Arabidopsis thaliana: one gene and its partners. The protein of the gene in region 1 interacts with the protein of each later gene in a pairwise test. Each region holds a gene or a part of one and is shown in the gene's direction. Other genes may lie near its edges.

Region 1 (12,396 bases):
TTTCAAAATATTATTCTAAGAAACACATTTGTATACAACTACAATAAAGATTTGACACATGGAAATGTTGTCCTAATTTTGTTTTTTCATCTTATTCTCTTTTTAGAGGTACATTTGTGCTAGTTTGTTCATGTTTGTCAATATTCGATAAATACTCTCTTTGTTAGTTTCGAAAGTATATATATCCACCAATCTTACTCTCGAATGTCATTCTCTAACCAATCTGCAATTTCTCCTAACTAAAAATTCCTAGTGGAGATAAAGCATGACGGAATGAATGCATGATGGACAAATTAGTATAAAAACTCATGAAGATTTGATGTTTTTGTTTTTGCTAAAAGGTAAATATCATTAATATGAAATAGAGTTTGGATTTATATTTTGATTATCAATACAATTCCTAGTAAAAAAAAGGTTTGAGAAAGAGAAATTAATATAACATACAAAAATTTATAAATTAGATAACTAACCAAAAAAAAAAATTATATGATATTGTGAGTATAATATATATCAATACATTTTTATCCTTTTAAAAACCATCACTATTACCACTTTTGGCCACCACCACCTCCGGCCACCACCTTCGTCCACGACAACGTCCAGTCACCACCACCGTTCACCACCACGTCCGGCCACCATCACCTCCGGCCACTATTTCCGACCACCACAACCTTCGGCTACCACCACTTCCAGCCATAACCACCTCCGGCCACCACAAATTCCGGCCACTACCCTCGGCCACCATCATTCTCAATCACAACCACTTCCGGCCACCACCATCTCTGACCACCACCACCTCCGGCCACCACCGCGTCCAGTCACTATCACCTCCACCAAAACCAATTTGGTCAATAATTACCCTTTATAGTTAGTTACTACATTTTTAAAATTATAGTGTTAGTTTGTTAATTATTTTATCAAATGTTTGTTTTGCAATTCACTCTGTCAATTTTTTTTTTTTTTTTGTTAAACCAATATTATCTTTATAAAGAAAACATTAATATGATAATAAATTAATAACAATATCCACCTAAAATTCTAAATTAATTTAAAAAATCTCTAAATTTACGCAAAAATTTTATTGCCGTCAAATTTCTGGACTGGTCTTCGTCAAAGAAAAATAGCTGAGCACAAGGGGAGGATCATCGTCAAAGCCAACGAGAAGAATACTCTGAAATATCTTGAAGCTGCGACAGGAAAAATGGACGCGGCGATAGGGAAGGTTTTCGATTCCGTCTCAGACTTCTTCTCCGGCGCTGCTTCTGCTTCCGCCGATGAGTTTCCCTTGTGCGATTCCGACATCATCTCCGTAAGTTTTATGATTCACCACCTTTTATGTTCCTCAACTTGACACGCACAGGAACCTCGAATCACAAATTTCCAATTGTTTTAATATCTCCTTCATCGGATTTTGGATTCTCTTGCGTTGCTTGTCCTTGTAAAGAATTTTTTTGTGTTTGGCCTGAATTTTGGCATGCATACATAATTTTGTAAGGAATTGACATCGTTCTCAGGGATGTGAGAAAGAACTTGCAGAGGCTCAAGACGAAGGACGTAAGAAGGAATGCATTATGCGTCTTTCATGGGCTCTTGTTCATTCAAAGATGCCTTCGGATATTCAGCGTGGGATTGCAATGCTTGAAGGTAATAGCTTATGTTCACACTTTCTATGGAATCTTCAGCTGCCTATTGTTCTTCCAAAAGGTGGATGCTTTGATCCATATGACTGGTTTGATCTTAGCAAAGTGTTTTGCTTTGTTTTCGCAGCTTTGGTGGTTAATGATACAAGTGCAATGAAACTTAGGGAGAAGCTATATCTCCTTGCTCTTGGTTACTATCGAAGCGGTGACTTTTCAAGAAGCCGGGATTGTATAGAACGGTGTTTGGAGGTTTGATCATCTGTTCCATGGATAACTCCTGAATATCTTATTGTTGATGTATTCTACAATGCCTTCTTTTTCTTTCTGTGGTTTTAGGTTGAACCGGAGTCCGGACAGGCTCAGGCACTCAAAAAGGCTATAGAGGACCGTATTGTGAAAGGTACTATTGTGTCAACTGTCCACACATCGTCCATTAGAATCTTCAGCTGCTTTTTCTTAACTCTCTTTTGATTTTTGAAATCAGATGGTGTGATTGGCGTTGGAATTGCTGTTACTGCTGTAGGGGTTGTTGCTGGTATTGCTGCAGCCATATTACGCAGCTAAGGAGGAAAGAACCCATACATGTACATGTTTCCCTTATTTTCAGTGAGTCTGTTTAGTTTCTTTGTGTCCTTCAAAGAATGTCTTTATTAAGGAAAATTATGTAATTCCTGTTTTACTATGAAAAGCTAAACAACAGAACTGATTGAGGAAGCATCAAACAGAAAACTTTATTATTACTTCAGCGTTAAATATAGTTTTATTCCATACTAGAAAATTAGAAGAGATGCAACTGTTTTAAGGTGTTAAGTTGAGGATGAACTCTAAAGTTGTTTTCCATGTCCTAGCAAAGCTAGAAGAAAGGCCTTGTAGTCCCCTGATGTCTCTTTTGCTATAGCTTGATCGAGACTCACATTGTTCCTCTTAAAGTACAGCCCAGTTATATTCGTCAGGTCCTTTTCTGCTCGTGTGACAATCACACGGTTCAGAGCATCTTCATCAGTCCCCACCGTGTTGATTGAATTGCGCAAAACCTACGTGCATTAGGGATTAACCATATGAATACCAGTTAGTTTTATTGGGATAATTTAGAGAACACATCTAAACAATATTGTTGCATCCTACCTTTGCATAATACCGGGTAGGGTTTTTGATGCACCTGATGGCTGCACGTAGTGCACTCAGGTACTCATTTGTAGGGTGATTGAGGAGATCCTGGTCATCAAATGTTTCATTAAGGACAGCAAAAAGAACATTGTCATGAAGAAAAACTGGTATGACTGCTGTATTGTTGTCTAGAAATTTCCAATTGATTGCTTTGTCACAGATCAGTTATAACATAACTTGATGTTCATTTTTTTGTTTGTATACCTTAGTGATCGATGTGCCATATATATCCTTGTAGCGGTTGAAGATTGCGCTAAGCTGCATGCTGCTCCTTGTACTTAACACCCTGATCGTTTCTTCGTGATCAACAGCCTTACCAAGGATTTCATCATGAAGAATCGCAGCCTCTGATTGCGCCAGCATCTCATCAATTTCTTCTCCATCATATTTATAAGCAGACACCATTGCAACCAAGAGCTGTATATATCAAGAAACGCCCAAGCGTTGAAGATCAGTCAAAACTAGAAGAAACTATCTGGAAATTTAAAATTACTTACTCTCCTGATGTCGCCAATAGTACGGGAGGCCAAGTCTTCCTCAAGAGAATGCTTGTAGAGGCAACGGTAAGCACGTCTAGCAGCTAACATATCTTCAGGGGATCTCATGCAGGCAATTTCGACAAGAACCTTGTAGTCAGGAATAGGCTTTTGAAGAGCCAAGTTAGCCAAGAGAGCATCTCTCTCTGGAGGATCCAAGACCCACAAGCAAATAGCTCTCTGCAGGTAACAAATATATTTATCTTTTGTGGATTATTGAAATAGAGTAGAGTAGAGCACATGGAGGAGATATATAAAATCTAAACCTCAAAATTGCCAGAGAGCTCAGATTTGAGCTGGTGAATGAGATCCTCATGGTAAATCTCCTGGTAAGCTTGTCTTATGAGCTTCCTCTGGAACAAATTCCGGTGTCCTAAGATCGAGATGATGGCATTTTCATTGGTTCCCCATCCTAAAACGCCAAATAGAAATAAAGAAGAGGAGTAAAGGAGATAGCAAGAAACTTGATGAACCACATAAGTTTTGAAACACTAATCCAAAGAAAAGTAGAACCTTGACAAGCCGCCTTGATGTTTTCAGCGTCTTCGACAGGGGAGAAATGTGGAGGAGAAACAATGGTGGCCATTTTGTTTTTTCTGTTTCTGCGTAAGATATCTTTGACTCAGATTAATCACTTGTTGGATATTGCTTCCATTGCTTTGAGCACTCTTAATTTATAAGAGTTGGTAATGATGTTACAATGCTTTGAAGAGACCAGAAAATGTTTCAAACGGCTCATTGATTGTTTTTGCTCTATGTTAATCTGAAACTCTCTCTGTTAACGCCACCCCTTTATGTATATGACTTTGCCGTTATTTTTTCAGGAATTAAGTTTTCATAAGGAATATTATTGCATCCCATAACACAAAAGCTAACTGTAAACACGAACACAAATATTTTTGCCTTAGAAAAAAATTAACAAATTAACAGTTGATCAAATTCGTTAACCGGCCGGTTTAGGAAAAAAAAACTCGTATAAAATAAAATTAACAGCTCATCAGGAGGGAGCTCATAGTTGTGAAAAGTCCGCCATTGAAGACCGTCTCTCTTTTCTCCGTCTTTTTCTCCCTGCAGTTACCGGATTCCTCCGGCTAGATCTCTCCGTTCATCGCCGGTAAGTTGCTCCATATTACATTTTTCCTTTCCCGTGTGCGCGATTGGTCATCTATAGGTTCTAAATTTTGTTGCATTCGGCGGAGTAAACAGCGATTACCGGTGATGACTTAACTTAGAAGATTTACGCTAGTGTAGTATCATTGAAGAATCCAGAATCATACGCATCTCTTTCTGCTATTTATTGAATGTTTCATATATGATCTGTCAGACTTGATTCTTCAATTCTTTGAATTTTCCATTTTATCAGATGACAGAAGGAATCAGAGCAAGAGGACCCAGATCATCCTCTGTTAACTCTGTTCCTCTGATTCTTGACATTGAAGACTTTAAGGTGAGGTTTTCAGTTGCTTATGTTTTTTCACTTTTGAATCATAAGGGATATTGATTTTTTTTTTTTTGTCACTGACAGGGTGATTTTTCATTTGATGCATTATTTGGGAACCTGGTAAACGACCTCTTGCCGTCTTTCCTAGACGAAGAAGCAGATTCTGGGGATGGCCATGGCAACATTGCTGGAGTTGATGGTTTGACAAATGGGCATTTACGTGGACAGTCTGCTCCTTTGTCCTCTGCTCCTTTTTTTCCTGAAGTAGATGGTCTTTTGTCTCTGTTCAAAGATGCTTGCAAGGAGTTAGTTGATCTTCGGAAGCAGGTGAGTGTCTTGCGTCTACATCGATGACTAGCCCTTGTTTTATCTTTTCATCGTTCCGATATCTGAGGTTTTTGTTAATTATTTTGGAAGGTTGATGGAAGGCTCAATACACTAAAGAAGGAAGTTTCAACCCAAGATTCTAAACACCGGAAGACACTGACTGAGGTTGGCAGACTAATACTATTAGTTTGATTAAATTCCTTGGGTACATGGATCACTACCTGATGAATAACTGACACCCCGATCATTTCTTCAAATGGTAATTGAATTCTCTTTCTAGATAGAGAAGGGTGTGGACGGTCTGTTTGAGAGCTTTGCAAGGTTGGACGGTCGTATTTCAAGTGTTGGACAGACCGCTGCAAAAATAGGAGATCATTTGCAGGTAAAATTTACCTTGCTTATAACCAACTATCTGGTGGTCTATCCAATATTAACCCATGCTTCCTTTGTCAGAGTGCAGATGCTCAGCGGGAAACTGCTAGCCAGACGATAGATCTTATAAAGGTAAGTGTGCATCTATGTTGCAAGGTTGGTCACATATTTAGTTAGATGAATGCTTAAAGTAATCCTTGTTCAACAAATGCAGTACCTAATGGAGTTCAACGGCAGCCCAGGGGATCTTATGGAGCTTTCCGCTTTGTTTTCTGATGATAGCCGCGTAGCTGAGGCTGCTTCTATCGCTCAGAAATTACGTATGATGTGATAGCTTTATGTTACTTGAAATTTGTCTGGAGTGTTAGAACAACTTTTTATCTATCATTTGTTAACAACTAAGAATTTAACTCTCCAACAACGAAACTTTACTAAAACCAAAAAGAAACAATGAAAATTTACAGTTAAATTAGGCTGCAATTGATTTCCATGCTCTCCTTGTCGATATCAGGATCCTTTGCTGAGGAAGACATTGGAAGGCAAGGTGCGAGTGCAGCTGCAGGAAATGCTACCCCTGGCCGAGGACTGGAAGTTGCAGTTGCTAATCTTCAGGATTACTGTAATGGTAAACTAATTCGTTTATACTGTGTTTTCTGTATATTTACTGAAGAGGATTATTGTATGTTCAACTTTTTCTTTGTGACATTTGAGTATGATGCTGTAGAATTGGAGAACAGGCTTTTATCTCGTTTTGATGCTGCATCACAGCGGAGAGATTTATCAACCATGTCAGAATGCGCTAAGATTTTGTCACAGGTGAATGCTTTATTCTGCAGCATGCCCCTTTACAATTCAGTAGGAAAACCTGTTCTTTTATCTAAGATCCGAGCGAAGGCCTTCCTTACGTATCGAGTGATTACATCCTGGTTAATTCTACATAAAGCTGTCACAGAAGGAATGGATGTCTAGTTCTCCTCTTGTACATATGGTTCTTGATACTTAGTATTTTTTCTTCTTGATTTTCAGTTTAACAGGGGTACAAGTGCTATGCAACATTATGTGGCTACACGTCCAATGTTTATTGATGTGGAAGTCATGAATTCAGACATTAGGTTGGTTCTTGGTGACCATGGTTCTCAGCCTAGTCCTAGCAATGTTGCCCGTGGACTTTCTGCTTTATTCAAGGAAATTACAGGTTTGAAGGTCATTGATCTGGATGCAATACTTGAAACATGCTTCTATGCTGATTCATATATTTTGTTACTTCTTATGTGTAGACACCGTACGCAAAGAAGCAGCGACCATTACAGCTGTTTTCCCGACTCCAAATGAAGTTATGGCGATCTTAGTTCAGGTAACTGGCACCGATAATTTGGACACTGTAGTGTTAACCCGGCATATGGATAAGCTATACCAACTCTTCGTGTATTTTACGCAGAGAGTTCTGGAGCAGCGTGTCACAGGTATTCTAGACAAAATTTTGGCGAAGCCCTCTCTTATGAGTCCACCACCTGTGCAAGAAGGCGGACTGTTACTAGTGTGTAGATACCTCTTTATCTCTTTCTTTTGCTATCTTCGTAGTAGGATTGGTATAAGAAAGTTAACTCTTAATTTTTGTCTTTAGTACCTTAGAATGTTAGCAGTTGCATATGAGAGAACACAAGAACTTGCTAAAGACCTCCGAGCTGTTGGATGTGGTGACCTGGATGTTGAAGGTCGTTTTTTTTAATGATAGAAGTTTTGTTTTGTCATGCAAACTTTCGTTGGTGCTGACAACTCTATATTTTGACTGTGCAGATTTGACAGAGTCCTTGTTTTCCTCGCACAAGGATGAATACCCTGAGCATGAGCGGGCCTCCTTAAAACAACTATATCAAGCAAAGGTTTGATATGGTTATTTCAATTTTCTGATTGAAATTAGTTGTTATGTTGTTCATTAATGTGAAGTGCTTAGATTTGAGGTTTTCTCTACAGATGGAAGAATTGCGTGCTGAGAGTCAGCAAGTCTCAGAGTCATCTGGGACAATAGGACGCTCTAAGGGTGCTTCAATATCATCATCTCTGCAGCAGATATCAGTCACCGTTGTCACAGATTTTGTTCGATGGAATGAAGAAGCAATAACCAGATGCACATTGTTTTCATCTCAGGTTACTGAACTTAGCAATTTATGAGAAACTTTTCCAAAATAAGTTAGTTGCTGTGAATTTTGAGAAAAGATGTCGGAATAGGATATTGACAAAGAAATAATCTAAAATATTGATTTTGGCTGAATTATCTAACAGTAAGTAAACTTTAATATCTGGGATTGCATATCTGATATTTATAATTATTTTTTTGTGCAGCCAGCCACACTTGCAGCCAATGTTAAAGCTATATTTACTTGCCTGCTAGACCAGGTATGCTGTTCATGAGATTCTAGAGTCATTCATATTAATAGAGCTGATGCAATGATGAGTTCTTGCAGGTGAGCGTATACATAACTGAGGGACTTGAACGGGCAAGGGATAGCCTGTCTGAAGCTGCAGCATTGAGGGAGAGATTTGTTTTGGGCAGAAGAGTAGCTGCTGCAGCTGCTTCTGCTGTAATTCCTTCTCTTTTCTATTTCTCACTATTTGAAATGCTATTGTTATGTGGAGTTAATTATAGTTTCTTTGATTGTTTCTCAGGCAGAAGCTGCTGCTGCTGCTGGTGAAAGTAGCTTTAAATCCTTCATGGTTGCTGTGCAACGTTGCGGTAGCAGTGTTGCTATAGTTCAGCAGGCATGTTGGATTACTTTTATGGTTATCAGTTCGTTTCAATTATTTCATCTGAGAAGGCTTCTCCTACTCAACTATTAAAGTATTCAAATAGTTTGACCCAATCTTCTACAATGAAAATTCTATAATCATCTAATTTTCTTTTCCAGTATTTTGCAAATTCTATATCTCGGCTTCTCCTACCAGTGGATGGTGCACATGCTGCTTCATGTGAAGAAATGTCAACTGCTCTGTCCAAAGCAGAGGCAGCTGCTTATAAAGGACTTCAGCAGTGCATTGAAACTGTGATGGCTGAGGTTAGTTCTTTTTTGTGTACATTACAAACAGAGCCATGAGGTTCAACCCTGAACAGGTTTAGGAGTCATGCTTAATATTTTCTTTCCCCTCATTTTAAGGACTCTAATATGGTCTTTTTCAGGTTGATAGGCTACTTTCATCTGAGCAGAAGTCTACTGATTATAGATCAACTGATGATGGAATTGCTTCTGACCACCGTCCAACAAATGCCTGCATAAGGTTAAAGGCTTCACCTTTTTTTTTTTTTAGTTTGATAAGCCAGAAGTGCTTATCTGTAGTTATACTTAGTAGATTTCTGAACCATTTTACAAAATATCTATTGATCACGTCTCAACACTGTGCTATTCTTTTATCTGATTTTTTCTCTTGTTTAGGGTCGTGGCTTATCTTTCCCGGGTACTTGAGTCTGCTTTCACTGCCTTGGAAGGTCTTAATAAGCAAGCCTTCCTGACTGAACTGGTATGATTTCTTTCTCACCACAGATTTCGTTAAGCCTTTTGGTTACTATTTGATCTGTTCGAAGTATTTATTCGCCCTGGCCTTTGCTTTTTATTGCTTTGTCCAACGACGGATTAGAGAAGAAAAAGAAACATTCTAAGCTTAAGTTCCTGTGTGATAACTTCGACTTTTCCATATACTGCCATCTTTTTGCCTATGAAATGGCAGTCTTTAACAAATGAATGATCCAATTAAAAAGCAACTCAATCTTGTTTTCCACTACTGTGGTGACTTCAAAATAAATAGTTAAAAAAAATAATTTATAATTTATGCATCATATAGAGAAGGATGAGGATTTGAATTAAGTTTTCTTTATCATTTTCAGGGAAATAGGTTAGAAAAACTGCTACTAACACACTGGCAGAAGTTCACTTTCAATCCCAGGTATGATTTCAGCTCTTTGTATGTTTTCTCTTTTCCTTACTAAAATCGCATCTGCAGAATAACCGAAAATGAGATTCAGGGCCCTAATAAATCAAACATAGATAACCATTCCAAATTTGCTATCTCTGAGTTTTCACTCTGATCTGACATGAATGCAATGTTTGATTCGCACCTCTTGGTATAAATGTTTTGTCGGATCAAATCAAAGTCTTGACCACATTAAATAAAAGATCCATTGCAAAATTAGGTCTGAGTGAATAAACCTTGGTTCTGTTTTTATGATTACTAACACTTGGGTTGACAGTGGAGGACTGCGGCTGAAGCGTGACTTAAACGAGTATGTAGGATTTGTTAAAAGCTTCGGTGCTCCATCTGTGGATGAGAAATTTGAGCTTCTGGGAATGTAAATAACAATCTTGAGACTCTCTTGTCACTTTAATTCTTCTTCTTCTTATTATTATTTATTGTAATCACTTTTTGTGAGTGCAGAATAGCGAATGTTTTCATAGTTGCTCCAGATAGTCTGCCAACATTGTTCGAGGGAAGTCCAAGCATTCGCAAAGACGCACAAAGGTAAGAATAGAAAGAGATTATAAAGGATAAAATAGAAAGAATAAAAATGATGAAATAAAGAGTTGAGAATAATGTGCAGGTTTATTCAACTGAGGGAGGACTATAAGAGTGCGAAGCTGGCAACAAAACTCAGCTCCTTGTGGCCAAGCTTGAGCTGATCTCTCAATGTTTAAAGAACACACTTGAACCAGTCAGTCAGTGCCACCACCAGATATATATTATTTTATGTATATACCATGAAATCTTGCCTCCTCTCTTCATTCTGAATCGTTATGGGTCTTAATTTGTGTTTTCTTTTTCGCTTGAGACAGTGACCAATATATTTGAGATATCGTTTTGGTCCAAAAAATTAAAATATTTGAGATGTCGTTATGAGTCTCAAGACAGATGTTTTACTTTCTGCATAAAAATTGGAAAGATGCAAAATAGGAGAAAATAAAAGAAGTAACTAACTTAAATTAACACTGTAAAAGTTATGCAAAGCCATTAGCCATTAAAACATCCTTGCGCCTCGTTGATCACGATGCTGCAAAAAAAAAAAGGGAGTAAAGAATTTGAAAATGTTACAAATAAACGGACCGCTCTCTCTCTCTCTGTTCGTTTGAAATTCTGCATACCCTAAATCGCAGCAGATTCGTTCTCTTCGTCTTCCGTTTAGAGCAGAGTCCTTGCTGTTTCTCTATCATCACTCTCTTCTTCTTAATTTCTGCCAACTCTTTTGGGGATTTTGGTTGGTGGGGAAATTGTTTAGCTGTTGATTTGGAGTTTCTCTATCCGCTCATCGGCATCTTGTGAGTCTAATCTTTAGTGATTGGGTTTGATTTTGTTGATATCGAGATTGCTTCATTTCCCACTCATTCGCTGCTTGTTCATGTAAAATTTACCCCCAAAATTGGTTGAATGTAGTGAGCATGGCCAACACAATTCTTCGCGGGCAGATGATTTTTCAGGACGAGAATGCATTGGCGGCCCTTGGAAAAAGTAATTTTTACCTACACTGCAATCTCTGGGTTTTTTGCTCCCTTTTATCTTATTGGACAAAGAAATCGTTTTTTTTTGTGATGACTCGTTTGTCCTATGGTTGGAAAATCTTTGGAGACTATACGAGAAATGAAACATGAAGGACCTACCAAGTTGCGAATATTTCTGTCTTTTTTTCTCTTGGATTCATATGAGAGGTCTTGGTTTCTTGAATTAAGAGCTTCTTATTATTGCTTAGAGATACATTCATGAATTTGCTTCAGGGTCTGTATTTATAATCATGTCCAATATTATGCTTAGGATCAAATTTGAACTAAGTTTTGTTTTGTGTCCATCTTGTATATGTTTTTATTCATCAGTGTAAGCATGAGAATGTATGTTCACCATGGAACATGTTTTTATTTATAGAATTTCTGTAATTCTAGAGGTAGAGCTCCTGGCAACTTATTATGTTTCTAAAGTCTTTTTTTTTTTTTTTTTTGACATTGTAGAGGCGGTTGCTGCTGGAAAAGGTAAGAGTTCACTCGCAGCTCCAAAGAAAAATGGGGCGGGTTTCGGAAGCCGCAAGGCTCTCCATGACATTACAAACAAGTCAAAGTTGCAACCTCAAGCTTCATCCACGACGAGGAAGGATGTTGAGGGAGTGGATTTTGACATAGCAAAGGAAGGTTTCTTGCATGATCACAGCAAATGCATTGAAGAACAACAACAAGACCAGTGGGATAGCTACTTCTCTGAACACATCATCCTGCATGGACATGGTAATAATGACTTATGAAGAAAGAACCCTTTTTCTCTATCTTATGTTTCCTTTGCTTGGCTTAATTCTCTGAAGCCTAATTTTTGTTCTGCTTTTCAGAGACAAACATCAAAGAAGGGGTTCCTCAATACAATAATATTCAAGAGGTAAGATTAGCTTTTACCTTACCTTGTCTTTCTCTATCTTGATTATGTTGAGTTATAAGAGAATCGTTCTTCTAAGATCGTTGGTTAATGCCATAAGAGTTTAGAGGAGACAAACACATAGCATCGTATTGTAGCTCCGGTTTTGAGCAACTTTCATGACTCTTTCACTTGTTTTTGTGCCTAAGATTGATGCTGAGAACAGCTGGGATGAACTCAAAGAGATACCAATGGAGGAGTTTTCCGATCTGCTGGAATGCTCAACTCAATGGCGCTCACCACCAGACTCACTAAGCCATCACCATTCTTCGTTACCTTCATCGCCTTTGCCATGGCATTTTGAAACTGTAGAATTCAAGCTCAAGGAGGATGAAGACACCACTTGAGGTCCAGTTTTACTTTAGTTGTTTTTTTTTTGTTGGAACAATATCAGTAACTTCTTAGTTTCTAATGTGATGATGTATCTACAAATCTGCTCGAAATCCAATTACTCAGCATTGTTTCTAGGGGGTAAAAACAC
Region 2 (10,030 bases), on another chromosome or scaffold:
CTAAAATATTGTTTTTTAAAAATTTTCATACAATATTTATTGGTTAGTATTAATGAATTATAATTTTCAAAAAAATAGTTAATTATCATTGATTTAGAGTTATAAAAAACTGTAAAATATAAAATATAATATATTTATAATCAATATTTAATACGTTTTTTTAATACATGTGTTTTTTCTAAAAAAATAATCTTTAGAAAACAGATAGAATAGTATTTTTAAAATAATTCAAGAGTATAATTTGATATAGTTAGATAATAATAAACCTTTATTGAAATATGTTCTCCATAATAATAAAATATTAGTCAATCAATTCAAATAATCTAAGTAAAAAATAGTCACCGGCACTTTTGTTACGTTGCCGACGACACACATGGCTATGATGAGTTGATGAAATCTTAAAACTAACCACACAAATTATTCAGACTTTATAGACTTTTTTACGTGCGTAGTAGTTCGGATCATAATTGCACGTTTTTCACTATAGGACAAACTTTATATTACATGTAGTGAATAGATGACAAGACGCATTATTGAATTACTACTACCATTTTTCTTATAGAAATATTGTGACTTTATTTTTTCTCAGCTGTTACATCGCCGAACTTCGTTGCCGTGAACATGACTTTCCGAAATACCGCTGGACCAGAGAAGCACCAGGCCGTAGCTATGAGGAGCAGTGCAGATCTTTCAATCTTCTATAGTTGCAGTTTCGAAGCTTATCAAGACACTTTATACACACATTCACTAAGACAGTTCTATAGAGAATGTGACATTTATGGAACAGTCGATTTCATATTCGGCAATGCAGCTGTTGTGTTCCAAGACTGTAATCTCTATCCAAGACAACCGATGCAGAACCAGTTCAACGCTATTACAGCTCAAGGTCGTACTGATCCGAATCAAAACACGGGAATTTCGATTCACAATTGTACGATTAAACCGGCAGATGATTTGGTTTCGAGTAACTATACGGTTAAAACGTATTTGGGACGACCATGGAAGGAGTATTCACGTACGGTTTTTATGCAATCGTACATAGACGAGGTTGTTGAACCGGTTGGTTGGAGAGAATGGAACGGAGATTTCGCATTGAGTACGTTGTACTATGCTGAGTATAACAATACCGGTTCCGGTTCAAGTACTACAGATCGAGTGGTTTGGCCCGGTTATCATGTGATTAATTCTACGGATGCGAATAATTTCACAGTCGAGAATTTCTTGTTAGGAGATGGTTGGATGGTTCAGAGTGGTGTACCTTATATTAGTGGTTTACTTTCGTAATTTCTTGTATCTGATTATTTGTTTTAGCTATTATTATGGGTAAATTTTGGTCTTAATTTTGGTCCATTGTTGTAATTTGGAACATTCTTTAATAAAATAAAGATCTAATAAATTTTATTTACACTAATTAATATTTATGGTCATTATTTTATAGAGAAATTCTTACAAATAGCACTAAAACAACTTTATGACAATAATAGCACACAATCCATAAACTTCCAAAAATAACACTATTTGACTTACTATAAAGTTTTTGTTCTAAAGTATTACTAATTTATTTTTTCAATAATACCACAATTTTTATATAAAATCTATTCAACCAAAATAAATTTGAAATAAATTTAAAATATAAAATTTGGATATTCTATTTCTAATTTAGGGTATATATTTCAACCATTTAAAAGAAATTTTGATTCATTTGAATATTAGTTTATGGTATTATATTTGGTTTCTAATTTTCAATTTAGGGTATATATTTTTACTATTTTTCTAAAAAATTGACTCAATTTAATATTAAATTAGTGTTTGCTCTTAATTTTATTTTCTATTTTATATTTTCATTAAATTTAATTAAAGTTTATAGTGTTAGTTTGTGAAATTTTAAAAATATTGTGTTGATTTTGGAAGAAAACCTTTTTGGTGCTATATTTGTCAATAGCTCTATTTTATATTAGTCATAAAAAATAAAATAAAAATATCTCAAATATTTTGACTCCAAAAATATTAAATTAATGACATTTCTTTGTTCATTCACACCTGAGAGTAAAGAAGTGAGAAGGAGAAGAAAGAAGCAATGGAGAAGATAGAGCACACGACGATATCTACCAATGGTATTAACATGCATGTGGCTTCGATTGGTTCAGGTCCAGTGATCCTATTCGTCCATGGCTTTCCCGATCTCTGGTACTCATGGCGTCACCAGCTTGTCTCTTTCGCTGCCTTAGGTTACCGCGCAATCGCTCCAGATCTTCGAGGATACGGCGATTCCGATGCGCCGCCGTCTCGTGAATCTTACACCATCCTTCATATCGTCGGAGACCTCGTCGGATTACTGGATTCGCTCGGTGTTGATCGGGTTTTCCTCGTCGGTCACGATTGGGGAGCAATTGTTGCGTGGTGGCTTTGTATGATCAGGCCTGATCGAGTCAACGCGTTGGTCAACACTAGCGTTGTGTTTAATCCGAGGAATCCTTCTGTGAAACCTGTTGATGCGTTTAGGGCTTTGTTCGGCGATGATTACTACATTTGCAGGTTTCAGGTAATACTTTAAACTCATGAACACTTAATTGAAATGAAAATTAGGGTTTGGTGAAGTTCTCAGTGGTTGAAATCAAAGACATACTTAGGGTTTATTGATGATTACTGTTCATGATTTGATCACGTTAATGATAGATTGGTTGATTATGAACAAGAGTTGTGGCAAATTGCTTTATAGCCAATGCTTCTTTGGTGTTTAGTTATGAGATCAAGTTATTGAACCGATTTGAGATAGATGTATATTTAGGCGATTGCTTTTTGCCATGCCTTGATACTGCTTCAAGAAAGTTGAGCTTTTTATGTGTAAATGTATACACAATGAGAAATTTCTTAGCCACTATTAGTTTCTGTTTGTGTCTATAGAAACAGAGACCAGCCACCTACCTATACATAGCTGAACTTAGCTCAGGCTCTGACTCTGATAATGCAAGTTGCTATTGATGATTAGAAAAAGGCAATTAGTGCTTACTTTAATATAGTGCAGTCAAAGTCAAAGTCATTTACTTTATTTGAGTTACTTGCTTTAAGTAAATGTAGTTGGATCAGTCTTGTGGTCTTCAATTGCTTAAGTTGGTCCTACTAAAGATTTTGAGTTTCTTTTTTCTCAGGAGCCTGGAGAGATCGAAGAGGACTTTGCTCAAGTTGATACAAAAAAGTTAATAACCAGATTTTTCACTTCGCGTAACCCACGTCCACCTTGCATTCCAAAGTCAGTTGGTTTCAGAGGTTTACCTGATCCACCTTCTTTGCCCGCTTGGCTCACCGAACAAGATGTCAGGTTCTACGGAGACAAGTTTAGCCAAAAAGGCTTCACCGGTGGGCTAAACTACTATCGCGCCCTGAACCTGTAAGTCTTATGAATTCTAGCCACCTATTCTACATCATACAATCATCTTTTCATGGTTAATCTTGGACTTGAATCAATCTGGTCTTATCCTAACCTGCAGAAGCTGGGAACTAACAGCTCCATGGACCGGTCTACAAATCAAAGTCCCTGTGAAATTCATAGTGGGTGATCTAGACATAACATACAATATCCCCGGAACAAAGGAATACATACATGAAGGTGGTTTGAAGAAGCACGTACCTTTTCTACAAGAAGTGGTGGTAATGGAAGGTGTAGGTCACTTCCTCCATCAAGAGAAGCCTGACGAGGTCACTGACCATATCTATGGCTTCTTCAAGAAATTCAGAACCCGCGAAACCGCATCCTTGTAGTAGTTCTCCGTCTGCACAATGTCAAATTCAAGGTTGATTAAGCTTGATCAGGGTTACTTACTGTCTTAGAGCCCTACTATGTAATGTTTTCAAGGATGCTATCTGTGTATTGTGCTTGTTTAATAATTTAGCAAAATATAATAATAGAACAAATAATTTCTCAAATGTTGGCCATCTCCAGTTCAATATATCCTTAAACTTTTCTTATGTCCAAATTAATTTTCAAAATGTTGAATTCCTATGGTTTCTAGAAAACTTCAATTAAGCATAGATGATTTTTTTTAGGTGAAATTAATATCAAAAAACTGAAATATATGTACAATTTTATCAAAAATTATAAATCTACTAAGGACATTTATACCTACCAACTGAATAAATTCAATAAAATATATAATACCAATGTTTTTTTTTTGTCAACAGAATTGGTGTATTAATTTTTTGGCAGTGGATATTTTCAACAAAATCTAAAGCGCGTTCGACCACGCGCCTGTGACGCGTAAAACTCAGTTTGACAAATATTCACAATTAATTGAAGACGCCAGTCAGAAGAAAAAACCACTACGCAGCTTGAAAAGACAAACACACCCTCGTCTTCTTCCGTCGCACCGCTTCTACAGCAATGTCATTTTAGTCAAACCCCAAAATTCGAGCTCCCTTTGAAGAAAAAACCACCAAATCAGTTTCGTTGTCCCAAATCCAAAATTCCTCCTTCTTCTTCGCTGTAACGCTTTATACCTAATCGGAGATAAAACAATGCAATCGTCGAAAGGACGGCGGAAAGTTGGCTCCACAACCGCCGGAGCCGGTATAGATTCGGCGGAGAAGCTCGACGAGCTCTTGATATCGTCTGCCATTTGTAACGGTGAAGATTTAGGACCATTTGTTCGGAAAACTTTCGGTACAGGGAAACCAGAGACTCTTCTTCACCATCTCAAGTTTTTCGCACGATCTAAGGAATCAGAGATCGAAGAGGTATGTAAAGCTCACTATCAAGACTTTATCCACGCCGTAGACGATCTTAAATCGCTTCTCTCAGATGTTGAATCGCTTAAATCTGCGCTTTCCGATTCAAACTCTAAACTCCAATCTGTTGCGGCGCCGCTTCTTTCGTCTCTCGATTCGCTTGTTGAGGCTCAGACTGTGTCTAAGAACGTCGATCTGGCGATTGGAGCGGTGACTCATTGTGTTCGTGTTATGGAACTTGTCTCTCGAGCTAATCAGCATCTTCAGAGCGGTAATTTCTACATGGCGTTGAAATGTGTGGACTCGATTGAGAGTGATTTCATGGAGAAAACTCCTTCGTCAACGCTGAAACGGATGCTTGAGAATAGGATTCCGGCGATTCGATCTTATGTGGAGAGGAAAGTGAATAAGGAGTTTGGAGATTGGTTGGTTGAGATCCGTGTGGTGAGTCGGAATTTAGGTCAGTTGGCTATTGGTGAAGCTTCCGCGGCTCGTCAGCGAGAGGAGGAGCTCAGGATCAAGCAGAGACAAGCGGAGGAGCAGAGTAGACTTAGTCTACGCGATTGCGTTTATGCGCTAAACGAAGAAGAGGATGATGAATTTGGTTCTGGCCATGAAGGCAGCGATGGTGGTAGTTCCGGAGGTGGATTGCTAGGTTTTGATTTGACACCACTTTATAGAGCTTATCACATTCATCAGACACTATCTCTTGGGGATACTTTTAAGCAGTACTATTATAACAATAGGGATCTTCAGCTTACCTCTGACTTCCAGGTATCTACTATGACTCCGTTTCTCGAGTCACATCAGACGTTTTTCGCACAGATTGCTGGGTTTTTCATAGTAGAGGATAGAGTTTTAAGGACTGGAGGAGGGTTGATTTCGAAGCTGGAAGTGGAGACTTTGTGGGATACTGCTGTTACTAAGATGTGTGCTGTGTTGGAGGATCAGTTCTCTAGAATGCAGACGGCTAATCATCTCTTACTGATTAAGGATTATGTGAGCTTGTTGGGGGTGAGTCTACGCAGGTATGGCTATGCTGTTGATTCCCTTCTCGAAGTATTAAGCAAGCACAGGGACAAGTATCATGAGTTGTTACTATCTGATTGCCGTAAACAGATCACAGAAGCTTTATCAGCAGATAAGTTTGAGCAGATGTTGATGAAGAAAGAATATGAGTATTCCATGAATGTGCTCTCTTTCCAGTTACAAACATCAGAAATAGTACCGGCATTCCCTTTCATTGCTCCATTTTCGACCACCGTCCCAGATTGTTGCCGGATTGTGAGGTCTTTTATCGAGGATTCGGTTAGTTTCATGTCTCACGGAGGTCAGCTTGATTTCTATGATGTAGTGAAGAAGTATCTGGATAGGCTTCTAGGCGAGGTTCTCGATGAGGCTCTGTTGAAGCTGATTAGCACGTCGGTTCATGGAGTTTCTCAGGCAATGCAAGTTGCAGCAAACATGGCCGTATTTGAACGAGCTTGCGATTTCTTCTTCCGTCACGCTGCACATCTTTCAGGAGTTCCTTTGAGAATGGCGGAGAGAGGTAGGAGGCATTTCCCATTGACGAAATCTCAAAACACTGCAGAAGATACACTCTCAGGAATGCTTAAGAAGAAGATAGATGGTTTCATGACATTACTCGAGAATGTCAATTGGACAAGCGACGATATACCACAAGGTGGGAATGAGTACATGAACGAAGTGTTGATCTACTTGGAAACTTTGGTTTCCACCGCACAACAGATCTTACCCGCTAAAGTCTTGAAAAGGGTTTTGCGTGATGTCCTTGCTCACATTTCTGAGAAAATCGTTGGAACGTTATGCGGGGATCTAGTAAAAAGATTGAGCATGGCTGCAATCAAAGGACTTGATGTGGATATTCAGTTGTTGGACTCGTTTACAGAGAACCTAACTCCATTGCTCACGGATAAAGAAGCAAGAGAGATGAAAAAAGCGTTTGTCGAGATAAGACAGATGATCAATTTACTTCTGAGTAGTCATCCTGAGAATTTTGTAAACCCGGTGATCAGAGAAAGAAGCTACAATGCTTTGGATTACCGGAAAGTAGCCACGGTTTCAGAGAAATTCAGAGATCCATCAGATAGTATTTTCGGGACTTTTGGAACAAGAGGGTCGAGGCAAAACCCGAAGAACAAATCTTTAGATGCGTTGATAAAGAGATTGAAAGATGTGAGCTGATGATGGATCCCAGCACAAACCCAAAACGTAAGTACGATCCCGTCCTTTGTGTTAATTATATGATTGCTTTGTATTTCATTGTTGATGATTCGTTGGTCTCTCAAAAAGAAAGGCAAAAAAAAAAACACTAAAACTGATTTCACCCCAATATTGTTTTTTTTTTTTTTTCTTCTTCCATTAATAGCATTTTCGTTAATGAGTTCAATAGTTTGATTTTGAATTGCAAAGTTCATGTCACTGCAGCCTTTCACTATGCCGTAGCTTTTTACCGCATTAAGTCATCAATCGGATCCTTAGTACGGTTTTAGTTACGATCATGAAATAGTAAAATCAGTCCAGTGGAATGCAAACTTGGCTGAGTTTCTTTATTTCAATCAAGGTTGGTTTGGTTACCACGTGATCGTCGTTTTTCCCTATTAACACGTGTGCTCTCTCTGTCAATCAAATCGTCACCGTACATCTAATTTGCATGGTCTCTTCATCAGACAGTCCAGAACACACAAACACCTAACAACTGTTTTCGTCTTCTGTACTTAATGAGACACTTCAAAGCTTATGCTAAATTAGACACGAATCATAAGAGCAAAACTTAAAGAAGTAAAGAACCATGTCGCTAGACGCGAATACTTGTTCTATCGTCTTCTTTCTATTCTTCACTGTCTCTTTCGCCGTCTCCGGCCAAAAGCCAACCGCTTACGACGCCGTCAAACTCTATAACTTACCACCAGGAATCCTCCCAAAAGGAGTGGTTGACTATGAGCTTAACCCAAAAACAGGCAACTTCAAAGTCTACTTCAATGACACGTGTGAATTCACCATCCAATCCTACCAGCTCAAGTACAAATCAACTATCTCCGGCGTTATATCACCCGGTCATGTCAAGAATCTGAAAGGAGTTAGTGTTAAGGTTCTTTTCTTCTGGGTTAATATTGCTGAAGTGTCTCTTGACGGCGCCGATCTCGACTTCTCCGTCGGAATCGCGTCGGCGAGTTTTCCGGCTGCTAATTTTGAAGAGAGTCCTCAGTGTGGTTGTGGGTTTGATTGTAATAATGGGCTTTTATTTTCTTCTTGAATCTGTTGGGCCTTGTGTTGTACTGAATAAAAAATGCCCTTCTCTTATGATTGGCTTATGAGTATTGATTAGTTAATTAATAAATTGATTAATGTATGTGTATGATTAGTTCCTACCGAAAAAGCCCTTCTCTTTCATGTCAATTTGAGCTTTCCGAGACCGAGACTATTTAACCATTTTTGACTTTCTATTTAACATTAGAATTTTTTTGAAGTTTTTACACCAAAATAAATAAATTTAAGCGACCATAAAAACAAGAAAACTGGTCAAGTTAATTTATCTTCTTTTTTCATGGAGCAAAAGATTAATGTTTATACAATTTTTTATAAAAATAAGAGTTCGAATGGTGACTGTATTTTGCCGTGTAGGAAGAGAAGTACTGTACAGTTCAAATAATAACGAAAATATATATATATATATATATATAAAGATTTTAATACTGTTACAATACTGTTGCGGTGCAATTTTGAGTATGGTCTATATCATTATTCATAGTCTAAATTATATACAATTTTTTTTTGTCTTTTTGTTAACAAATGTCTTGATAAAATTTAATTCATGATTATCTAAGAGAACTTTTCCCAAAAATTTGTCTTATCACTACAACCTGACTGCCTGTAGAAACTAACCACGTGTCCAGTTGTCTACCTAAAACGGCGTAGTTTATATCTAACAAAAGATATTTTCAACGACCACCATTATTACAAAAAGTCTACGACGGCAAAACGAAAATCCACAGGCGGAGAAATCAAAAAACCAAAAATCCAATCTTTGGATTCTTACTTCTACGATTTGTGTGTTTCCTCAAACCCAAATGTCTCGTCTCCCGATTTTAATCGCTTCGTGTCTCTTCCTCTCTTCACTCACCGCCGCCGTCGTCACCGCCGCCGAATCCGATACTCCGACGGCTTATTCACTCCTCCAAAGCTACAACTTCCCCGTCGGAATCCTTCCAAAAGGAGTCGTAGCTTATGATTTAGACACAACAACAGGCAAATTCCATGCGTATTTCAACGATTCATGTAGCTTCAATCTTGTTGGTTCTTACCAATTGAATTACAAATCAACAATCAGTGGTTACATCTCCGAGAACAAGCTCAAGAAATTGACTGGTGTTAAAGTCAAAGTTTTGTTCTTGTGGCTTAACATCGTCGAGGTTATTAGAAACGGTGACGAGATGGAGTTTTCCGTTGGGATCACATCGGCGAATTTCGCGATCCAAGAGTTTTTGGAATCGCCTCAGTGTGGTTGTGGCTTTGAGTGCAAGGATTCGAAATTGGACATGATTGAGAGAATCCCTTTTCTTTCTTCGTCTTGAAATTGAAAAAGGTACAATCTTTTTTTGTAATTTGTCCCCAAAAAATCTTACCTTTCGAAAAGATCGCATCTTTTATGTATTGTCCAATAATATGAGCGTAGTGTCTGGAATTTGTAATTGTTTACTTTAGTTCTATTTATTGGATTCAAGTTCTGTAATGGTGAAAAGAAAAGATACTGAAGGGAGATGTGAACATTGTGAAGTGAACATTTGTAATCTTAGATTGAATGTTTTCATTTTTGTTCATAAGGTCCTTTACTCCTTATTTGTATTGATTTGGTTTGGATGTGCTGGGAATTAGGATGGAGCTGCAGTTAGTAGGTTAGAAGCCATCTAGTTTTGGAGATTGAGATATTTGATCTTGGATAGGATTGAGCTGCAGTTAGTAGAATAGAATCTATCGATCATTCGATTTCGGATGTTACTCTTCGGTGAGAAGAGAATTAGCTTGCAGATGTTAGAGATATGTAGTGAAGATTTTATTGGTAGAGTCTGGTGCTTTTGGGGTAACTGTGAAATGTTTCATCTGTTTTGGGAGGAATTAGATCATGGTTCTTTGAAGATCTACACTGATTCCTATAATACATCATACCATTGTGTCGATGATCGATATTGGTCTATGTGATTTACTAACCTTCATAGGCTTGAGAATTGAGATAGTAACATGAAATGGGAAATGTCACAATAACTCTGAGCTATACTGATTCCCCTCG
Region 3 (10,133 bases), about 21 Mb from region 1:
GCCAATGTCAAAGAGAATGGTAATTGAATAACAGAGACAAGTTTCATCATTTTATTTTATCAGCTGGCTCAATCCAAAAGGCATACCAAGATTTCAACTTTTTAGCTTCTGGTGATTCCGGGTTAATAACCACATTGCTTCTGCTGATGGTAGACAACGAAACACCTGGAGAGATTGGATTCTATGAGCAAAAGGTTCAAACAAGTGTGATTTATCCATACTGTTCAATAATACCAAATACATCATACCTTGAAAATCTCCAACTTTGAGAGACTTGATTGCAATCACAGGTGACTGATCAGCCATGTCTAGTAGCTCCTGACCTATGCCAGTTGCAAGATCATTCCACAGGGACACCACAACAGTTTTCCTTGACTCATCAGCCAAAGTTATATCCCTCTTAGGAATCATCTCATTGTCAGTTCTCCTTCTAATACTCATGGTAGGAGATACACTTTGAACAACTCCAATAAGATCTGAAATAGCATAACAATTAAGTTATTATCACAACCAATGTATAATTTACCTGGAAAAAGAATGTTCAATGACAATAAGGCTCTTACCAATAAGTTCCTTCTGATTAACATACAGACCCAACTCTTCAATGGGTACGAAGTTGAATTTTGTCTCAGGGATGAACATTTCTTCGCTACTAGCTTCCTCAACCTCTGAATTTTCATTCAGTGTCATCTCATAATCATTCTGAACTGTTTTGAACTGCTTGTTAGCGAGTTTTAGTGACCCCCTTGATATATAATAAACCTTTCCCAACTGGAATCTGTCAAAAAACTTCCTTGCAGCATCATTAAACATCGTTGCTTGAATTTGTGTTCCCTGGATAACAGCCAAATAAACAAAATGAGAAACCGCATAAAGGTTGTCTATACCAAGTTTGAGAGATAGTAAGGAGCTTTCTTACTTCTTCATCTGTTAGTTCAACATTGAAGACACATCCTTCACCCCTAGCGTTTTTGTAATTTCTCATCACTCCCTTGTTTGTAACTCGGACTTTGATGGTCCAGTTTCCTTGATATGGATTTAATGACACAAGTGGATGAACCCTTCTAGTCATGGCCATTCTTGCAGCTGGTGCAGCACTGTCAAAATCCAAACGAATTTAAGCAAAACACTAATAAAATAACCATTTGACAGAGACAGTAATGAAACATTGAAGATCAAAAAAGATAATTTGCTTACTTTCCCCTTTGTTCACTCATTATCTGAGAAGCTGATTTGGCTACAAATTCCTGCTTCGGTTTCAATGTGATACCAGTAGAAACAACATCATTCAGAGGACTGACAGGAGAATGCTCTAGTTTCTGCTTCTTGGGCTCACGAGCCTCCTCCTCTCCGCTCTTACTGTCCAAGTTAATCTCAGAATCAAGCACAGAACCAACAGCCTCACATTTAGTCACAAGGAAATATCTGACACAGAGACAATAGAGAAACACACATGTTAGTAACTGTTGATTTCAAGAATCGAACCAGAGTGATTATCCATGTAAAGAAGAAGCAAAAGAGAAGTCTTACTTTGTAGATTTGCTTGAAATGTCGTTAACAGTGAAATCAATGAGACGAATTAGACCCAAGTTCTGGATCTTCCCAGAAATGATTTCAGGTGTGAGTGAAGCAGTAAACATTGCTTTGACTTTCGTCTTTCCGTCATTTGCACTAAATCTGTCAACCAAAATCAAAACAGATCCATCAGAACAAAATCGGTAACTAAAACCCAAAACTAGGCAATATACAAACTATTATCAACAAACCCAGATCTCTTCTATCATAGAGTCATCAAAGTCGTTGCATATCATAATCTAGCTATACAATTGTGATTGAGAGAATATAACACTGACCTAAAGCTGGAACAAGCGAGATTTAAGAAATCAAGTAAAACCCAGATCATGAAAAGCCAAGGAAACTTACGTATAGCGATTGCCGATAGGTTTAAGATCCACAACTTGAACAACGATCTCAGATCGATCGGAAGACGAATCAAAGGATGGGTTTGACAAAACGGTGGAGATGGCATCTGGGGTCACCGAAGTCTGCATCTTTCTCTCTAGATATTGAAAAATGAAACGTTTGGTTTCTCTTTAATCAGAATGGTGAAAACTAAAAGCCGTGAGATAGTGAGAAGAATGAGAGAGAGGTACGAGGGTTTTTGTAAAGGAGAGAGCTTTAAGCGGGAGCTATTAAATTCGATTAATTGTTCCCCCGCCGATTTCAATTTCTATTTTTTTGGCAAAAAACTCTTACCGCTTCTTTTCAGTATCTTTCCATTTTTTTGGCGCATTTTGTTTTGTTTGATAATGGACTTTGTATGCGAAAGAAACTGTGTTACAAAAGCCTTTCACTTCAGGCCCATAGTTTATGGTTTTGTTTTTATGTGTGGGTCTTGAATCCACCGTATCACACGTTATGATTCATAAATATCTAAAATTTATTTCCAACAAATACAATTTTTTTGTTTCTTAAAGAACACATACGATATTATTATTTCAGAAAAAGATTAAATACAAAATCCCCAGGATCAAAATCAAACACCAATTCCAGATTAAACAATATCAACAATCTTTAATGTTTTTGACTTTTTTTTTTCTCTGAATGTTTTTGACAATTGAAAAAAATAATTCTACGCATTGCGTGAGGCAAACATTTAAAATTTTAATTTATATAAAGAGAAAATTTATACTTCTTGACTTGGGAAAAAAAAACTTGCTGAGGTCCTTACTTGATATGAGCTGTCAACTACTAGTGTGAGCCGTACAAATATAATCGGACGGTTCAGATCAATACATTGCGAGCCAGTCAAACTTCAAGTATTGACTAATCAACATCAACGTTTATTACACTAATTTATTATTGTACCCCTTATTTTCCAAAAACATAATACTTTTATCCCTATTGTATCCAATAGCTCTAAAAAAATCCACCATAAAATGTGTTTAATGAAATTCGATTATCTCTGACGACAACATTATCAAAAATCAAGACAAGAGATAGAACATAAAATGTTCAAATTCGTAAAAGTAATTGAAACAAATTAAATTCATTTCGAAGTTTATTAATTACATTTTGACCCCCAAATTTAAGTTAATTAGACTTACCATCCCCATGGTTTTCGTCCCGCCATATGGGGAAGTCAATGGACGAATCAATCTCAATTAGATTCGGGGCGGCCCAAAAATTTATCATTTTCTAAACCTTTCGTAATCTACGAAATTACGGGATCGCCTTCGTTGGAATACTAATTCCATTTTTCAACTTTGTTTTTATAAATACAGTTTACGTGCACCACAACTTTTCTTCTTTCCCTTCTTCTTCCCCAATAATCTCGCTGAAACTCTCTTGCTCTTGCTTCTAAAAATCTGTTCTTTGAGACTTTGATCACACAGTTATCAAAATCATAATCTCTTCTTTCCTGGTTTTTTTTTTTTTCTTCTTCTTCTTCCCGTTTCACGGTACGTTTACTCTGTTCGATCACCGAGTGTATGATAAAATGTTTCTGTGAAATCAAATAACATATCACTTTCTAATAAACATCAAAATTTCTCCTTTTTTACAGAAACAAGAAGTTTTTTTGGGAAAGCCGTTGACTTGACTTTTTCTTTGGGGTGTTGTGTGGGAGCTTATAGTATGGTACCATAAGTGGGAGCTTATAGTTTGGGGTGTTGTGTGGGAGCTTATAGTATGAGGAAAAATGTTAGATTTGAAGAATGCTTCACTGATTTTTTACCATAAGTATGTCAACTGGATTAAGCTTAAGTAGTAATGGTTTTTACTATGTTCATGTGGGGATTTCTCTTCCTCTCTGTTTACTTCATTCCGAGATGACTTGAGATTTTTTCAAAGTATAGTTCTTGGAGTTAAGCTTACCTAGTAATCACTTTATATAACATCCCTTCGTTTACATTTGTGCTTTCACCTGGAAACACTTTAGACTTTTCTCTCTTCTGCCGTGTGTATTTAGTTGTCTAGTCAAATTTAAGTTGAGTTTAGGCTCTAGTCTTTGGTTTTGGTTATGGCAGAGTTTGATTCCAAGGTTCCTGTTTCCGGAATGAACAATCATGTCTTTGAGGCATGTCACCATGTTGTTAAGGCACTGAGGGCATCTGATAACAACCTGGATGCCAATTTGAGAAAGCTCCTAAGTGACCTAGAGATGCATTTGTCAACATTTGGGATTGCTGATACCAAAGTTGAAGATGCAGGATTCTCTGAGATCAAGAAGAGATTCAAAGAAGCTGTGAAGAGAATCCGCAGTTGGGAGACAAACCAGTCGACGATGTTTGAAGCTGGTCTGTCTGAAGCTGATCAGTTCTTTCAAGCCCTGTATGACGTTCAAACAGTTCTTGTGGGTTTCAAAGCTTTGCCCATGAAAACTAACCAGATGGAGAAAGATGTTTACAACCAAGCTACGGTTGCTCTTGACATCGCGATGTTGAGGCTTGAGAAAGAGCTCTGTGATGTTCTGCATCAGCACAAACGGCATGTACAGCCTGATTACTTGGCTGTTAGTTCCCGTAGAAAAGATATTGTGTACGACGAGTCCTTTGTCTCCCTAGATGATGAAGTTATTGTCGAAGCTTCTTCACATGAAGATGATGAACAGATATCGGACTTTTATAATTCTGATTTGGTTGATCCCATCGTACTTCCTCACATCAAAGCTATTGCAAACGCCATGTTTGCTTGCGAGTATGATCAACCATTCTGTGAAGCTTTCATCGGCGTTCAAAGAGAAGCTCTGGAGGAGTATATGGTTACTCTCGAAATGGAAAGATTCAGCTGCGTTGATGTTCTCAGAATGGACTGGGAGGATTTGAATGGTGCAATGAGAAAATGGACAAAGGTTGTTAAGATCATTACTCAGGTCTATCTCGCCAGTGAAAAACAGCTATGTGATCAGATTTTGGGAGACTTTGAGTCAATTTCTACAGCTTGCTTCATTGAAATCTCAAAAGATGCAATTCTATCACTCCTCAACTTTGGAGAAGCTGTGGTGCTGAGATCTTGCAAGCCAGAAATGCTTGAGCGCTTCCTTAGTATGTATGAGGTTTCAGCAGAGATTCTCGTGGATGTCGATAACCTCTTCCCCGATGAAACAGGCTCGTCTTTAAGAATTGCATTTCACAACCTGTCAAAAAAACTAGCTGATCATACAACCACAACCTTCTTAAAGTTCAAAGACGCAATAGCCTCAGATGAATCCACACGCCCCTTTCATGGAGGCGGGATTCATCACCTGACCAGGTATGTAATGAACTACTTGAAGCTTCTCCCGGAGTATACCGACTCACTAAACTCACTGCTTCAGAACATACACGTTGACGACTCCATCCCCGAGAAAACAGGAGAAGATGTCCTCCCTTCGACATTCTCTCCAATGGCTAGACACCTCAGGTCAATCGTCACAACTCTAGAATCCAGCCTTGAGCGAAAAGCTCAGCTGTACGCAGACGAAGCACTGAAATCCATTTTCCTGATGAACAACTTCCGTTACATGGTCCAGAAGGTAAAGGGATCAGAGCTGAGACGCTTGTTTGGAGACGAATGGATCAGGAAGCACATTGCAAGCTACCAATGCAATGTCACTAACTACGAGAGATCCACATGGAGCTCCATACTCGCTTTGCTCAGAGACAACAACGACTCTGTAAGAACCCTGAGAGAAAGATGCAGACTTTTCAGCCTTGCATTTGATGATGTTTACAAGAACCAAACCCGTTGGTCAGTCCCTGATTCAGAGCTCCGCGATGATCTTCACATCTCGACCTCTGTCAAGGTTGTTCAGTCTTACAGAGGATTTCTTGGAAGAAATGCAGTTCGCATAGGCGAAAAACACATCCGATACACTTGTGAAGACATTGAGAATATGCTCCTTGATCTCTTTGAATGTTTGCCATCTCCAAGATCACTGCGCAGCTCTCGTAAGAGATGATGATGATGATGACTTGAGCCTAATGGACTCCATCTTTGTTCTTTTGATCTTTTGTTATTTACTCACTTATGCAATGTTTTGTGATTGCTTACATGCAAATAAAGTTGTAGAATTTTTATACTCCATTGTGGGGATGTAATAGTAATTGGCTATCTTGTCACTATGTCATCTTTGACATGCTTAATACAAATTCAATGTTTAAGTCGGATTTAACATTTATAATGACGATGGTTTTTTGGTTAACTCTATGGACTCATCTGATTTAACTGAGGTATGGACTTGGGCTATTTGACTAGGAGATATCTTTGGTGACTTCTTACTACTACTCACCTCTGTATTCTCTGCTGGATTTTGGCATATGCAACAGCAAAGTGTTGTTGATGGAACAAGTGAAGGAAGTGAGCTAGCAGTGGAAAGAAGACTGGGCTGATTATGAATGTCAGTAATGACGTCTCTCCCCAGTCAAGAAGATAACTAGAGAATTATGCTTAGAAGATTTGATGGTAGCCTTGCTATTCTCCATCTATTCTCATCTTCGGAAAATTGTCTAAACTATAGTACCCTTATGTCCAAAAACCTACAATCTTCTGTCAAAATATGAGAAGGAACTTTTTTTGGACCGTTTGATTCCTGCATTCGAGTATGAAGCAGATGCCAAATGTTTCTCTTACTTGTCTTGCCTGAAAAGTTATATAAAACTGAATAAGCTGATTCAATACCAATCTTTTACCCATATCCTCATATGTTGGACCATTACTAAAGGGATAGAGAATAACTGCAAGATGATGAATGCTCATGCCAAAACTTCATCTACTAAGCCACTACCCTCTCAACTCGGTTCCAAAAAAAAAAAAAAAAAAGTCTGCAAATTCAGGAATGGAAACAAAACTAGAGAAACGCTCTAAATAGCCTAAAACAGCCCACCCAGTTCCCACTTAAAACCAAAGGTTGGTTCAGCAGGCAGTAGCAACAGCATTTTTCTCCACAGGTAACTCGGTCTCTTTCACCACTTTCGATTCTTTAGTCACTTCAGCCGCAACTCCTAGTGCTGCTGCATCTTCTGAGGCTGTAGTAGACTCTTGAGGTTTCACAAGATTAATTTTTGACATTACACCTTTGTCTGCATTGGCCACCAATGTCTGCTTGGAAACAATACCAAAATTTGTAAGATATTCCTGTTATATAATTATATATATCAATGAATTGTTGGTTTCAGAGAGGATTGTTGCCTGTTTTTTGATCTGCAGGTGTTTGCTTTTCCTTTCTTGGATAATCTTTTGACGATTCTCATAGAACTCAAAATCATCGAGGATGCATGTCTTGCTTGCGTGGTCCTTGAAAATCTTGATGACTTTAATGCCTTGCTCGAGCTTTACCTGCAGACAAAAAAATGGTAAGAAAATAAATGACAGCTCAATTATTAGAATACAAAAGATGATAAATAACACAGTGAGCGGACATACTTCCTGTGTGTCTCTGCTATTAGTAACCGGCTTGTTCTCATTGTTCTCCAGAGTTATATGCCTCAAGGAGCTATTAGGGATATCTTTAACGAAATGCCACTTAACAGGGAAGCAACCAATCCATTTGTCCTGTTGCCAGTATTCAACAGTCTTATTGAAATCAACAGGGCCTACCATCTCGGCTAAACCAACAAATTGTCCACTAGTGTTTACCTGCATCAATGAAAACATAAGAACTCTACAACTAAAACTGAAATACACAGCAGAGGTTGATAACATATTCAAAAAAAATTATTCACTCACAGAGAAAAGTAGAAACACGGGACAGCCATCTGACTTCTGTTTTGCCTCGTTATATGAGGCATCCAGCTTCTTGTTACCATTAGGAGTGCTGGACCAAACACTGTATTTGATACTTTTATGAATATCATCTTCACTGTACGATTTGATTACATAAAACTTTGCTTCTGTGTAGGTCTCAGGGAAATCTATCTTATTGTAGTCCTTGGGATCTAAAAGAGACACATCTTCACTGAGTTTCTCAGTCTCAGTCACTCTCTGCTCCTTCAAAGACACAGCCATCACCTTGGAACCATCTTGGCTGTTGAAACCCTTAGCTCGTGGACCTCTATTCATCTCATTTAACCCCTCAATGTTTTCTTTGCCATATCCATGATACCCGTTTCTTGGCTTGTAGGTATTGTTAACCGCATACCAATTGGGCATGTATTTCCATGAGTCATAACCGTAAGAGCCATACCCATAGCCATTCGTGTAAGGTCCACACATCCCATAATTGGAGTAAATGTTGTCCATGTATCCTCCATAAGATTGACCATTACCAGCTGATCTTCCCTGCTGAGTCTGCAAAATAAGATGATAATAAATTAAACGAATAAACAAGTCAAGATTACATACCAAGTGATTATAACTACAGCTCAATGAATGAAATAAGAACATACCAGGTACTGATACTGAAGATTGGTTTTCCCTGAAGCATAGCTCCCAGTGTAACCATGTCTTGGGTACTGATATGCTGGGGGATAGTACCCATAAGCATAGGCACCCTTCCCATATGAACCCTTTGCGTTATAAGCTGCACTTTGGTACCCGAGTTTCTTAAGGTTGGATCCCTTGTCTTTGGTCACACCTCCATCTTTAGACAAAAGACTAGGTTTACCAATTTTGGTAGCCTCCACTAACTCATCATTGAGCAAGAAGTCATTACCGTTTCCGCCATAAGCCCCCTGCAACTAAAATGGACACTAGCCTTTATAAGTTCACTCTGAAAATTACTCTTATTGAAACCAAAAGGCATGTTTTCTGAATCACTAAACAAAAGGTGAACACTAAACCACAGAAAAATACCTTTGTTTCAGAATCAGGAGCTAAAGCCTTGGTTGTTGGATCAATCGACAAATTATGTAGCACATCTGAAACATCTATAGAAAAAAACAATGAAGGAATAACAAAATTTATGATTTTTTCACGAGTCAAAACATCAGATCAACAAGGAAGAACCACGATAATTCTTCATAAACCCTAAAAGTTAAGAATTTATGAACGATTTACAAAAAAATAAAAACAAAGAAGAAGATCTAAATCCATCGTAGAAAAACAAGAGTGTCAAAAGAACTAACAACAGATCCAGCTAGAATGAAGAAATCAGCTTATATTTAAAACCCTCTGAACAAAAAGAATCTTCTTAGAAGAAAGCTTTGACAAAAACTCATAAAGCAAATACAAATAGACACAGATAATGAAGGATACGGTCAGGATTTGCCATGGCTGCGTAGTGAGTGGCTTAGCGGCGGAAACTTGTTGTAGGAGAGAATGAGAAAATGTGAGAGAGAGAGAGAGTAAACGCCTGACTAGCGGAGACCACAAAACCCTAAAAGCAACAACTTTTTGAGTATTTCATGTTTCGGGTTTAACCCATTCACTTTCGGGTCAAAATAATGTGATTCGGGTTGCATTTTCAGCAAATCAAATGGGCTGAAATAACAAAAGAGAATAAGGCCCAGTTACAAAAGAGAATAAAGTTTTGTTAAGGGTTAACTTTTTTTTTTGTTTTCCTTTTATCTTTTAATACTTCTATATTATAATTTTATTGCAACAATATTCAAACTAGAAGTTTAATGTATAGGATTCAATTACAAAAATTATACGTAGTTTTACCAAACTTCTAAGAAAAAAGTTTAATTTCGAAATATCTTTCTAAGTTAAGTTAATCTTCGAATTCTTCCTTTTTATTTTCGTTTAAAAACCAAAATAGAGAGATTAAATCGTTATAGGCTTAGAGCTACTGGGCTGTCACATAAACGAATGACTTACCCAATGAAAACCCCGTACGTGTCTAATATGATTTTCCAAAATCATTTTAGATTCAACGGTCACGATTGACTCAGATCTTGCAACTTCGCTACATAAACCCTTTCTGGGAGAAGTAGGGTTTTAAGTTTTAACGGACGCGAGAAATCACAGAGGAAGCGAAGTCAGTGTAGAGGTACTTCACTCTTCACGCTCATTTCACTCTCAGCTTTGAATCTCGTTAGCTGTTTTGAAGGTTCTTTCTTTTCTGATTTTGAGTGTTCTCTGTTATTTCTTCGCTTTTCATTTTCATGGATTTAGGTTCCGATCTTTGTGTTACGGTATTGAATTCACTTTTTGGTTCCTTAGTAGTTCATGTATTTGCAGAGTACGAGTTAAAAAAGCTTTGATTGTCGTTT

Evidence for each region.
Region 2: the proteins of SEC10 (region 1) and SEC15B interact in a two-hybrid assay, tested with the Arabidopsis thaliana proteins (one study listed by BioGRID).
Region 3: the proteins of SEC10 (region 1) and EXO70E2 interact in a protein complementation assay, tested with the Arabidopsis thaliana proteins (one study listed by BioGRID).

What each region holds. Positions count from the first base shown.
Region 1 is NC_003076.8:4,000,756-4,013,151, reverse strand, and holds SEC10 (exocyst complex component sec10), read left to right. Parts: upstream 1-4,376; 5' UTR 4,377-4,457; intron 4,458-4,549; 5' UTR 4,550-4,706; coding exon 4,707-4,790; intron 4,791-4,868; coding exon 4,869-5,111; intron 5,112-5,201; coding exon 5,202-5,276; intron 5,277-5,391; coding exon 5,392-5,493; intron 5,494-5,564; coding exon 5,565-5,615; intron 5,616-5,697; coding exon 5,698-5,803; intron 5,804-5,994; coding exon 5,995-6,108; intron 6,109-6,207; coding exon 6,208-6,299; intron 6,300-6,509; coding exon 6,510-6,678; intron 6,679-6,760; coding exon 6,761-6,837; intron 6,838-6,921; coding exon 6,922-7,020; intron 7,021-7,107; coding exon 7,108-7,198; intron 7,199-7,280; coding exon 7,281-7,366; intron 7,367-7,457; coding exon 7,458-7,631; intron 7,632-7,826; coding exon 7,827-7,880; intron 7,881-7,948; coding exon 7,949-8,065; intron 8,066-8,150; coding exon 8,151-8,243; intron 8,244-8,389; coding exon 8,390-8,536; intron 8,537-8,658; and 13 more. Other genes in the region: FIS1B (Tetratricopeptide repeat (TPR)-like superfamily protein), read left to right, coding at 1,202-1,309, 1,515-1,644, 1,768-1,889, 1,977-2,040, 2,125-2,204; ANNAT8 (annexin 8), read right to left, coding at 2,465-2,674, 2,766-2,855, 3,012-3,224, 3,305-3,523, 3,610-3,755, 3,857-3,929; AT5G12360 (uncharacterized protein), read left to right, coding at 10,904-10,973, 11,465-11,734, 11,833-11,879, 12,065-12,262. UniProt on the Arabidopsis thaliana protein: Component of the exocyst complex involved in the docking of exocytic vesicles with fusion sites on the plasma membrane during regulated or polarized secretion. Involved in polarized cell growth and organ morphogenesis.
Region 2 is NC_003075.7:1,033,645-1,043,674, forward strand, and holds SEC15B (exocyst complex component sec15B), read left to right. Parts: upstream 1-4,469; 5' UTR 4,470-4,512; coding exon 4,513-5,496; intron 5,497-5,547; coding exon 5,548-6,927; 3' UTR 6,928-6,954; exon of another isoform or gene 6,955-7,130; intron 7,131-7,170; 3' UTR 7,171-7,420; downstream 7,421-10,030. Other genes in the region: ATPMEPCRB (Plant invertase/pectin methylesterase inhibitor superfamily), read left to right, coding at 590-1,284; AT4G02340 (alpha/beta-Hydrolases superfamily protein), read left to right, coding at 2,078-2,542, 3,150-3,388, 3,489-3,759; AT4G02360 (transmembrane protein, putative (Protein of unknown function, DUF538)), read left to right, coding at 7,535-7,999; AT4G02370 (pectinesterase (Protein of unknown function, DUF538)), read left to right, coding at 8,814-9,317. UniProt on the Arabidopsis thaliana protein: Component of the exocyst complex involved in the docking of exocytic vesicles with fusion sites on the plasma membrane during regulated or polarized secretion. Involved in polarized cell growth and organ morphogenesis.
Region 3 is NC_003076.8:24,550,591-24,560,723, forward strand, and holds EXO70E2 (exocyst subunit exo70 family protein E2), read left to right. Parts: upstream 1-3,153; 5' UTR 3,154-4,021; coding exon 4,022-5,941; 3' UTR 5,942-6,453; downstream 6,454-10,133. Other genes in the region: RPA70D (Replication factor-A protein 1-like protein), read right to left, coding at 87-165, 249-476, 564-834, 920-1,097, 1,198-1,425, 1,531-1,677, 1,924-2,051; ECT3 (evolutionarily conserved C-terminal region 3), read right to left, coding at 6,895-7,080, 7,171-7,317, 7,405-7,617, 7,708-8,268, 8,367-8,657, 8,773-8,846, 9,175-9,190. UniProt on the Arabidopsis thaliana protein: Influences the subcellular localization patterns of other exocyst complex proteins (e.g. SEC5A, SEC15A, SEC15B and EXO84B) leading to their recruitment to exocyst, well-defined large punctate structures throughout the cytosol.